3 separate regions of the Mus musculus genome follow, and all the other regions are reported to be linked to region 3. The links are microRNA targets in miRTarBase. Many come from high-throughput screens and were not tested one by one. Region 3 holds a microRNA gene; each other region holds the end of a gene's coding sequence.

Evidence for each region. Region 3 holds the annotated microRNA mmu-miR-149-5p (UCUGGCUCCGUGUCUUCACUCCC, at 2,216-2,238, shown strand). A microRNA usually pairs through its seed, bases 2 to 8, with sites in the 3' UTR of a target mRNA and lowers its output. Matches are read on the target gene's strand: a 7mer-m8 pairs with bases 2 to 8, a 7mer-A1 pairs with bases 2 to 7 and ends in A, and an 8mer does both.
Region 1: miRTarBase lists Fem1c as a target of mmu-miR-149-5p. The part of its 3' UTR that is shown has no 7-base or 8-base seed match.
Region 2: the mRNA of Gprc5c is a reported target of mmu-miR-149-5p. The part of its 3' UTR that is shown has no 7-base or 8-base seed match.

The regions. Positions count from the first base shown.
Region 1 is chr18:46,502,242-46,505,241 of GRCm38, reverse strand. It overlaps Fem1c (fem 1 homolog c), which reads left to right. Exons shown (of 3, transcript NM_173423.4): 3 at 1-636. The coding sequence ends at 162. Among named protein-coding and RNA genes, the nearest start is that of Fem1c, 22 kb to the left of the region's middle.
Region 2 is chr11:114,869,800-114,872,799 of GRCm38, forward strand. It overlaps Gprc5c (G protein-coupled receptor, family C, group 5, member C), which reads left to right. Exons shown (of 5, transcript NM_001110337.1): 5 at 522-2,818. The coding sequence ends at 554. Among named protein-coding and RNA genes, the nearest start is that of Cd300a, 19 kb to the right of the region's middle.
Region 3 is chr1:92,848,166-92,852,049 of GRCm38, forward strand. It overlaps Mir149 (microRNA 149), which reads left to right and starts at 2,213; the gene lies at 2,213-2,278. All of the region lies in intron 1 of Gpc1 (glypican 1), which reads left to right. It overlaps Gm29480 (predicted gene 29480), which reads right to left and starts at 632. Exons shown (of 4, transcript NR_166170.1): 1 at 536-632.

The sequences.
Region 1 (3,000 bases), not on the chromosome of region 3:
AGTGACTTGCTGGACGAGAAGGAGATAGCTAAAAATTTGATACAGCCCATAAATCATACCACATTGCAGTGTCTTGCTGCTCGTGTCATCGTGAATCATAGAATCTATTACAAAGGGAACATCCCAGAAAAGCTAGAGACCTTTGTTTCACTTCATAGATGATAATTTGATTGTGCTTCAGCACCGTTAAAGCACGGAGTGGGAACAGTTGTAATGAGCACTGTTGTGATAACACCAGCATCCATTAGCTTGATATCATTGCTCCCATTGGCTAAAGCATTGTAAGCATCAAATGTGCAGGGTTGGTTTCCCAGTGTTTAATATAAATATACCGTATAATATATTGTTGTGAATTATTGAGAAATGTCATGTCATATTCAAATTTCTAAAATTGTCTGCCAAAGGCCATTCTGATTTTGTTTGCTGTTGGGTGTTTGGGACAGAGTTAACTGTTTTTCAGTGATGTCTATATTTTACTAGTATGTGAATTTTATACAATTGGAAGTCATCCTCCCCTGGCTCCCACTTCTGTCTTCAAGTTTTGCCTGTTTCCACTTTTTCTCCCAAACCATTTCTGCTACAGTGTTCCCTGAACCGTTGGGTCCATGCTAAGTCATAAACCTTATGGACTTGTTTACCATTTGCAGTTACCATAAGTGCTTTATCTTCTCTATGCACCGGCTTAAACTGGGACTGTTGTGTGTTGGCATATTCTCTATGCAGCAGTTGGTCAACTTCAACTCAAAACACTGTTTCCTTACGTTCCGTTCCGGAGTCCATTTCACAAACGTACTCTCAGAGCATGTCGCTTTCTAGAGTTGCCGGTAAGCTGTTCGAGCTCAAGCTTTTTAAAATTTTATGTTTTGGTTTTGCTTTATTTTTTCACATCTGAGGTTTCTTTCTTCAGTCCACAGAAAATTTTGTATGCTAAATTTGGGAAACAAATCTATTACAAGTCATTAACCCAGTTGAAATTTAGGTCTGTCATCTTAGGCTAGCGTGCAGTAAAGGAAGACCTTTGTAGAGTGAACTGCCTTTCATACCGCTCCAGCGTCGTCTCCGGCGTCGTCCTGCTTGTGCTGATGGTGTGACTAGGTGTATCGAATCTGCTTCCGTTTAACCTCAGACGTTATCACACAGCCTAACGACTCACATTGAGCTCTCAGTCATGAACTGCAGACCACTTTTAGTTACAAAGAGGCTAGAGCATGTCAGTGGCATGATGCTTGCCAAGCCAGCCCTAGGCATCTAAGATAATTACGGTATTTTAGTATGCGGTGTACTGCCATAGGACCAGAGGTCAGTAACAGTGTTCTTTCTTTCTTGCTTCAGGTTTATGTATATCTGTTAAAGATAACGTGCATGAATTACTTTATCTCAATTATTTGTCACCCTATTAAACACAAGAGATTGCACAGTGATTTCTGTCCCCTTAATGAAAGCGCCTCCTTCTGTTCTCCTCTTCCCCTCCCTTCCACCTCCCTCCTCCCAGGTCCCCCCCCCCCCCCCCGTTTTTTTTCCTGTTGTAGATTTGTTAATGCTGCAGAAAGGGCTCCTTTGACTTAAGAGAAGATAAGTGGAAATGAAAAAGATTCAGGTAATCACTCAGCACTTTACCGTAATTCAGTAGAATCTACAATGACTGCTACATTGCCCTACATATGTCATAAAGAATTTGTTCTGAATGAAAAGCTTCTTGATTCTAGCAGAGAGTCAATTCGCCTGTGAACTTCACGATCTGGGCCACTTGGATTTAGGGATGACATTTTATTCTGAGGGTTGATGAACTGCCACTTAAAGAATTACATATAATGAAATTCGTCTTTATTCAGTAAACATTTGTAATGGGTAGTAAATAAAGAACATTAGACTTTTCATCAAACAATTGAGGTTTAATTCTTTAAAATGTATCCTTACTCATTTTACTACATTTTAAATTACATTTTACCTTTGGAAAATGGATTAGTTATCAATGGGCTCTTAAAATCGTTGATAAAAAAGGTTTTACTGTGTTTTTTTTACCATGGACAAGTCTGATAAAATATTTGAGCTGCTATATATAAGAATAATATGTCATTGAGACATATCCTAACAATATTTTGAAATTATCTCTCTCTAATGGGTGTCGTGAGAGTTATCTATGAGTGAGCCACTATTTTTATTTTTATATTTAAAAAGAAAATAAAACTTGTCCATTTTCATGAATCATCATTGGTTGATTTCACTTTTTGGGTAAAAGATGATAATTTGATTTTAGGGTTTAATGTCTTTCTCCCCTCTTTGCCCAGAAGAGTCTGGCTTACCCGCTCATAGAGCAGGGCACATCTTCACACTGTTTTACACATGCACTGGAATTTTCGTAGCCCTGTATGAATAAGGATATCTTTGCTAGTGGCTTCCTTCACTACGAATAGATAACAGAACTGGTTCTTACTTAGTCTTGAAAACTGCAGCATTGTATTGCAGTCAGGATGCAGCTCTCCCTCTTCTGTTTGCCTTCTCCAGAAATGTCCCTTGGAGCTCTTGAAAAAGCTGTTTAGTAGCTCAAATTAGCATTGAATTTATTTTAGAGTGAATTGGTTCAGGAGTGCAACCTCAGATAACTGTTAGGGCCTTCATCAGACATGTGTGAGACCGATTAAAATAAAATTCTGAAGTTTGTGTTTTGTTTTGTTTTTTTTGTCCATGGTGAGGAAATGATCTAATTGTACTCACTTGAATCAAACAATATACATGGTAGTATTGGCTGGAATTAATGTGCAGGTCTCAACATTGTTTCTCCAGAAATACTTCTGAATTTCAGACGTTCTACAATTTTGATCATTTCTGTAAAAGAAATGGTTATTTTATTCAGATACCAGTCTCCTTTCCAAATGCAAATGAATTATAGGTTTTAAAATGTAATTTTTTTGTCCTTACGTCTGACAAGCATAGGCCGAGAAGTGCAAGATAACTTTTACCCTTAATGATTTTGAAGTTAAGTGATTGCTCATTTGCAAA
Region 2 (3,000 bases), not on the chromosome of region 3:
AGTCAGTGCTCTTAACTGCTGAGCCATCTCTCTAGCTGCCCCCCAACCTCTTTTACAGTAAGCAAAGTGACACAGTCTTGCCATAGAGCCTCTAGGTGGCTGGACCAAGACTGATATCCCCAGCTTTTGTCCTTGGCCCTCCCTGGGAGAAGCCAGACCAGTGGCCTGGGCTCTGAGCTGCTTCTGTTCCTCATGGATGGGACAATATTCTGAACTTTGGATGCCAAGTCCGGATTCTTCAAGGGGACTTGAGAGCCTGCCCATCCATGTTTGTCATGGACTAGCCAGAAGCTATTTTCTGACACCAGTTGTAAGGGGAAAAAATAGGGTTGTTTTGTTGTTGTTGAGAGAAAAGGATTATTGGAAGAAGACTCCAGACTTCTCCAAACGTCTATATTTAGATGGCATTGCTCCCTGAGGACTGACTGAGACTTTAAATTTTTCTCTTAGTCCAATTCAGTACTTGGGCTGTGAGCAGTAGAATCCTCCATTTTGACATTTGTTCTTTCTGGTTACTTTAGGATCAGTCCCCGACTAATAAAACAAGATGGTAGATGCCCTCTTCCCTGGACCACACCTCATCTGGATCCCTCAATGCTCTGCATCCATCTGAGCAGGGCCAGCAGCTTTCCCACCTGTCCTTGGAACTGGGAGGGACCAGAGGCCACCAATTTGAAACAGTGGACTGAGTCGGGACCTTGGGATAGGCCTGAAATATGTGACTGGTGCTCATAGGGCCACCTGTCCCTTGCCCATCCCAACCTCCTGGTATCCAAGAAACTGCAGCTACAGGGAGTGAACTGTTGACTCCCATCTCCTGCCTTAACACATCCCTCAGGTCACAGTGTCTGTGTTCCCATGTGGTTCTCCAGGTTGCTGTCTCGCTGTGAATGTCCAGTGTGTGACGGACCTTCTTGGCCATGTTGGTGTCCCGTCAGCATGTCTCACAATGGACATCAGGTGAATCTTTGTGAGTCTTTGGAGACAAGCCACACAACAGAAGTTGTCCCTTACCCTACTTAGGGCCTGCTGCACCTTCTAGGAGGTCACTGGCTAGTTTGGGCAGGCTGTTTCTCATGACCTGAGGGTCTCAGGTCCCAGCACCTTTGAATCTGGATGGAGTCTACTATACCTTCAGTGGGTCGTGTCCCCTCACCAGGGCAGGACCAGTCGGCCTGTTCTGTCCTCCCCACTGCCCATCACCATTGAAGATGGCAGTTACACTGGTCCCATCTGAGGAAGCTCTTCTTGTCCAGCCCTGCCACACAGAGAACCCACATCAGAGTTGAAGAGCCCGTGGGCCACAGTGGTGCTAGGGTTTTGCACCGTTTGTATCTCAGTTAATCCCCTGTTTGAATCTCCCCCAGTCTCCTTTTGCCTTCTGTGCTAGCTTCCTGGGGTAGCTCCTGGGACAGGTGCAGATGTGGATATTGCTGAATTACCTGGATCTCACAGGTTCTGGAAGCACCTGCTTGGGCTACCAGGACATACGTGGGGTCTGGGAGTTCCCTTAGGACATGTGGGTGGAATTCAGGGCTGCATTCTCAGGGTGAGTTGAACCTTTCCTGTGTCCGACTGGTGGGATGTGCGGTCCAGGACTGTAGATCGCTTATGGAAAGACGTCTTAAGTTTCTACCTCAGTTTGGGCAGCAGCCGTCCTTGGGACACATGGACATGATCTGCTGCTTTCAACATTAGAGGAGAGTCCTTGGCCTTAGGACATGCACCGGAGGCACCCGATGGCCACCCAGGTCAGAGAGGGCCATTTTCAGGCCTGCAAGCTGCTGACACCAGTGGCTGAGATGGTGTCATGGTACCAGACCCTGGACTCGAGATCTCCAGAACATCATTCTTTGTTCTACTTTTGGGTACCAGACAGAGCCTCTTCTATACCCTTTCCCCCAAGTGTGCTAACTTGGCCCTCAGCCCAGTCCTGCTTAGTGCCAAGGTAGAGGTAAAGATGAGTGGATTCCCAGGATAGCCAGGCACTCCATGCCTAGTTCTCATGCCATCCCCAGCAACCTGTGCCTTTTATCATTGGATGAAAGGTTCCCACAGAGTAGGACCATACCTCCAAATGATACTCCTCTTGCCCTCTGCTGACTGAGGATGCTTGGTCCTTCCACAAGGGAACCGGTCTCCATGCACCTCACACTGTTCTTGATCTAGAGCCCCAAGATCTGCCGCAGTAAGCGAGGGACTAGTTTGCTGTCTTAAATGAGTCCTTTAGGATGCAGAAAGCCCCACATCCCTAGGTGTGTAGCCTGTGGTGGGTGTGGCTGTGTTTATAGCCCAAGGCCTGCCTGCACCTGAAGCTGAGGAGTGATTGGAGGCTCCTGGAGGATGTAGGCTATTTGGGAGTGTCATGGTTACCCTTCATGGCAACCCTGCGACTTTTAGTTCCAGTTCCAGTGGAGAAGTACATTTTTCACTTGGGAGGCAGAAGCAGGCAGATTTCTGAGTTCGAGGCCAGCCTGGTCTACAAAGTGATTTCCATGACAGCCAGGGCTATACAGAGAAACCCTGTCTCAAAAAAACAAAACAAACAACAACAAAAAAAAGTACTTTTTTTTTTTTTTTTTTTTTAGGAGGGTTGGGGGCCTCCAAATGAACAGCTCTGTATCATACACAAGCCTTGAGTGGGAGACATCAAGTAGGTCCAGGCTTGATCCAAGCTCATCATTTGCAGGCCACTATCCCTTAATAAATGTCACACGGACCCTATTAAATCCTATAGTGGATGTAAAGGGAGGCTCAACCTTGTAACTGCTCAGAATTAAACGACTGCCCTTTCTTTGTGAGGGGTTACTGCCTCTGTTCCTGTGTGTTTCTAAGTGATTGTGGAATGTCAGTGTCAGCTGCCTTGCCTGCCTCTCTCTCCCCATTCCCCCATCTCAGCTACAGTAGCTGTTGGATTACAACTAACTAACTTCTCTCCGGTTAGAGACTTTAAAGGAGAAAACCAGGCCGCTGAAAGATATTTGAATTCTCAGCTGGATA
Region 3 (3,884 bases):
CTTCAGTTCCATTCTCTCGCAGCTGTACCCCCACTACAGCCTATCTCTGTCTCATCCCCTTCCCATCAAGAGCTTGGTCATCAGCCCTGATGTCCACTCATGTCTCTCAGCTCCCACCTCCATCCCATCCCCATCTCCCTAAAGTTGTGCTGCACCATCCTAGATATTCCTCTCTACCCCATCCCTCCCCCTGCACCCCTCAGGCTGCCGCAGCCCCCTTTCCGCAGTAAGTCCCCCTTCCTCTACTGAACCCATCCCCCCTTTCACCCCGCCCCCGCCGCCACAGCCATGGCGCTCGCTTTTCTCCCTCCTTTTTCTGCCGCCGCGCCCACTGCGGCAAGCCCCTTCCCCGCCAATCACATCGCCCTCTCTCCTCTCCCTCCATCTCCCGCTTTCCGCAGCCCCCCTCCAAATGCCCCCCTCTGCCTGCCGCAGCACTCAGCTCTCCGCACCAGCCGCGCCCACTGCACCAGCGCCCCCTCCTCACTGCGGCGCCAGAGCAGGCGCCTGCATCTGCAGCTCCGGCTTATCTTACCGGCTCCAGCTGTACAGAACCATCCCCGTTGCAGAGGAGGCAGCGGTCGGTCGGAGCTGCAGGTGTCGCCCAGGCTTTGTTCGCCCAGGGCCTGGCCTGATGCTGGAGAGGCAGCTGGCAGGAGCCCTTGCCTGCCCGGAGATGACCCCTCCCATCGAGTCCATAGAAGTGCCAGCAGCCGATGCCCCCCAGTTAGGGGGTCCCTGTTCGTGATGGAGGTTCTTCTTGGTGATGTTGCCATTTGGGTGAACCGGAGGCAGGGGCTCGGGAATCATGAAGGCATCCAGGAGGGTGGAAAAGTATTGGGAGTGAGGTGGGGGCGGGGAGGGGATTGTGCTTGATGCTTTTCCAATTTCAGAGATGGAGTTGAAATGTCTTCCTTCGGGTGTGACCCCCGGGGACTAGACAGGTTTGTTGGGGAACAGGAGCAAGCAATGGGAAAATGCCCCTGGAGCCTGGGCAGTGAGTAGTCCCCCAGAAAGCTGGGCCATTTGCTCCAGGCTGTCACGTCCTGGAGACTCTCAGCCTCTGGGGCTGGAAAACCCAGGAGCACAGAGGGCTGGTTTACTTCTAACCTACCAGTCAACAGAAAGGCCTGCTCTAGGAGCCAGCAGCTGGGGAGGGGAGTGTAGCCTGTGCCTCTCCCTTATCTGCGGTGCTGAGAGATTATACTCCGAATGCCCCTACACTCCCCCAAGCCGTGCCAGCTGGAGTGTTTTAGGGGCCGTGAGGGAAGTGGGCTTTCCACTCTGCATCTCCCCCGTGAGCACAGGAAGCTTCTAGAAGAATGGACCAGAGGCGGGGTAGCATGACTCTGCATTATCTTCAGAAGGTGGAGGGTTTCAAGGCATTGGGTCCCTGAAGTGTCAGGGGAGGTCAGGTCAGAGATGTCTGTGGGTAGCATCAGGATGCTGGACTCTGCTAAAGTCCTGGGGTGACTGTGGATGATGACCAAGAGGGATGCTGCCTCTGTGAGGGAGGAGCAGGAGCTGGAGCTGTCAGCAGGTGGCAGGAGGGTGTGACCCTGAAAGGTAGGAAGCCACAAGCTGCTGTCTGCTCTGGAGAATAGTGGGGGGCCGGGGGTGGGGTGCAAGCAGCCAGATTTGGGAGGAGGTAAATGAGCAGTTGCTGCCCATGGGTTTGCTGCAATGGGGTGCCATGCTAAGTGTCACAAGAAGCAGGGGTCTTGGAATTTGAGAGGCTTTGGGGTTGGGGACAAGGCTTAGAAAAGGGACTAAAGTGGGGAAAACCTGCCATTAACAAACAACCCCCTTCCCCAAATAAAACCTGTGAGTGCCAGGGGAGGGTAGTGCCCCCCAAAAACCCAGGAGGGAAAGATCTGGAAAAATGAAACCAACTCTGAGAGAGATGGGCGGGGTCAGTGGGGAACAATACTGCCGCTCCACTCCCACCCACCTTCAGGGCTGGCAAGGAGGAAGCTGCTGGTAGGGTAGAACGGAGAGACGTTCCTACGATGGGTATGTACTCCAGTGCTTTCCTGGAAGTGTAGAGAGCTTTGCAGAGCCTGCCTTAGCTGTTCTGATGTTGAGCACCTATGGTTCCAGTTGGGCTGGGTCTCAGCTCCTCTATCTTTGACCCTCAGCAAGCAGGTCTGCCAATGCATGGGCTTCTGGGCAGCCTGACCCAGCCTGCCCGGGGCCCTCAGGCCAGTGCCCAGGCTCTGGCTCCGTGTCTTCACTCCCGTGTTTGTCCGAGGAGGGAGGGAGGGACGGGGGCGGTGCTGGGGCAACTGGAACAGCGCAGGTCACCGGGCTGGCTGGGTGAGGTGGCCAGGCAGAGCCAGGGGGCTGCAGGGGAGGCCATTGGATGGGGTATGCTCATAGTAGCTGGCCAAAAGTCTCATGGGTCCCATTTATCCAGAACCTGCCGTGGAGTGGGGCGAGTTTCTGTTTCTGAGTGTGTGTCCTTAATTAACTTCTTCCTGTTTCAGCTTCGTTCTTCTGTCTATGTGGTGAGGGGTGGCAATTGGGACCACTAAGATGGAGAAGGATGTCAGAGGAGCAGAAACCATGGGAGGGGCCAGTAAGGCTGTGCCCACCTCTCTCTTGCCAGTGCTCTGTTGTGCAGCCTGGTCCTCAATATTTCCACCTAAAACCTTTGGCCTACACACACAGAGTGCCTCTGTCCCAGCTGAGCCCAGGATGGCCCCATCCTGATACCTGCAGCCTCCATCCCCATAGCTGTTTCCCCACTCACTGCTGAAGTCAGAGATGGGTCATCCTCTACAGTGCCCCCCATGATTCCTCCTCTAACAGAAAAACCCTTAAACCCCACCACTCAAAGAGAGAGATGTGGCATATCACCTCAGCCCAGCAGACCATGGCCCGGAGCAGAGCAAATAGAAGGCCCTGCTGGGCCCTGTACCTTGTTGTGCCTGTAGCCTGCTTGCGGGTGGATAATCTCTGCTTAGCCCTCCCTACTCTAGAAGGAAGGGAATCAATCAATGGATGCAGATCAAGTGGCAGGACCTAGGCTTGCAGCTCCCAGCTGTCTGGGCACCAACCCAGCCCTTTCTTGAGGTTGGGTGCTTAATAACATGTTGCTTCCCAGGACCTGCAGTCCCTGTGAAAGGCAGGTGCCCTGGGCAGGAGGAAGCAGTGTGGTAGGAGCAGAGGGTACCAGGTAGGGGAGTGGTGGGAGGGGCATTCCGTGTGCACCTCCCATCTCTGACTCCCTTTTCTCTTGACTCCCCCAAGCACCCTTGAATCAGAATACAATTCCTTCTGTTCTTCTACCAGCTGTCAGCCACTGCCCTGCTCTGTGGACCTTTGGGGACCCTGAAACCAGGTGGGACTCAGCCTGTGAGGCCAAAAGTCCCCAGGGTTCTGGGATGAAGCACAGCTCCCATGCCTTAGTAAGCAGGAGAAGGGCTAGGCCAGGCCCTCAACCTGAGACCTGGAAGAGCAGATCTGAAGGTTGCCCTACCTAGGGATGGAGGGGTGGCATCTGGGGATATATACCTTCCATGTCAGGTCAAAATCACAGAGGCTGTACACAGTTCCACTCTGCAATATGCACACACACACACACACACACACACACACACACACACACACCATCCAGCACACATAAATGCTTGTGCTTACTAAGTGCTAAAGACAAGGATGTGATCATGTAACAAGCTCTTAAGGGTGAATGCAACCTCAGAATCTCTCCTTAGTCAGAGATCTCCACTCCCAGTTGGCTTCAGGGGAGGGGGGTTCATAGAAATGGGGCCTAACACATAATGGCCTCATCCTGAGGTCACAGGTTCCTGCCCCCACATGCTTCTTGACAAGATGTCCACTCCCCTCTGGCTCAGTCCCCCACCTCTGATGGCAGCCTGCAG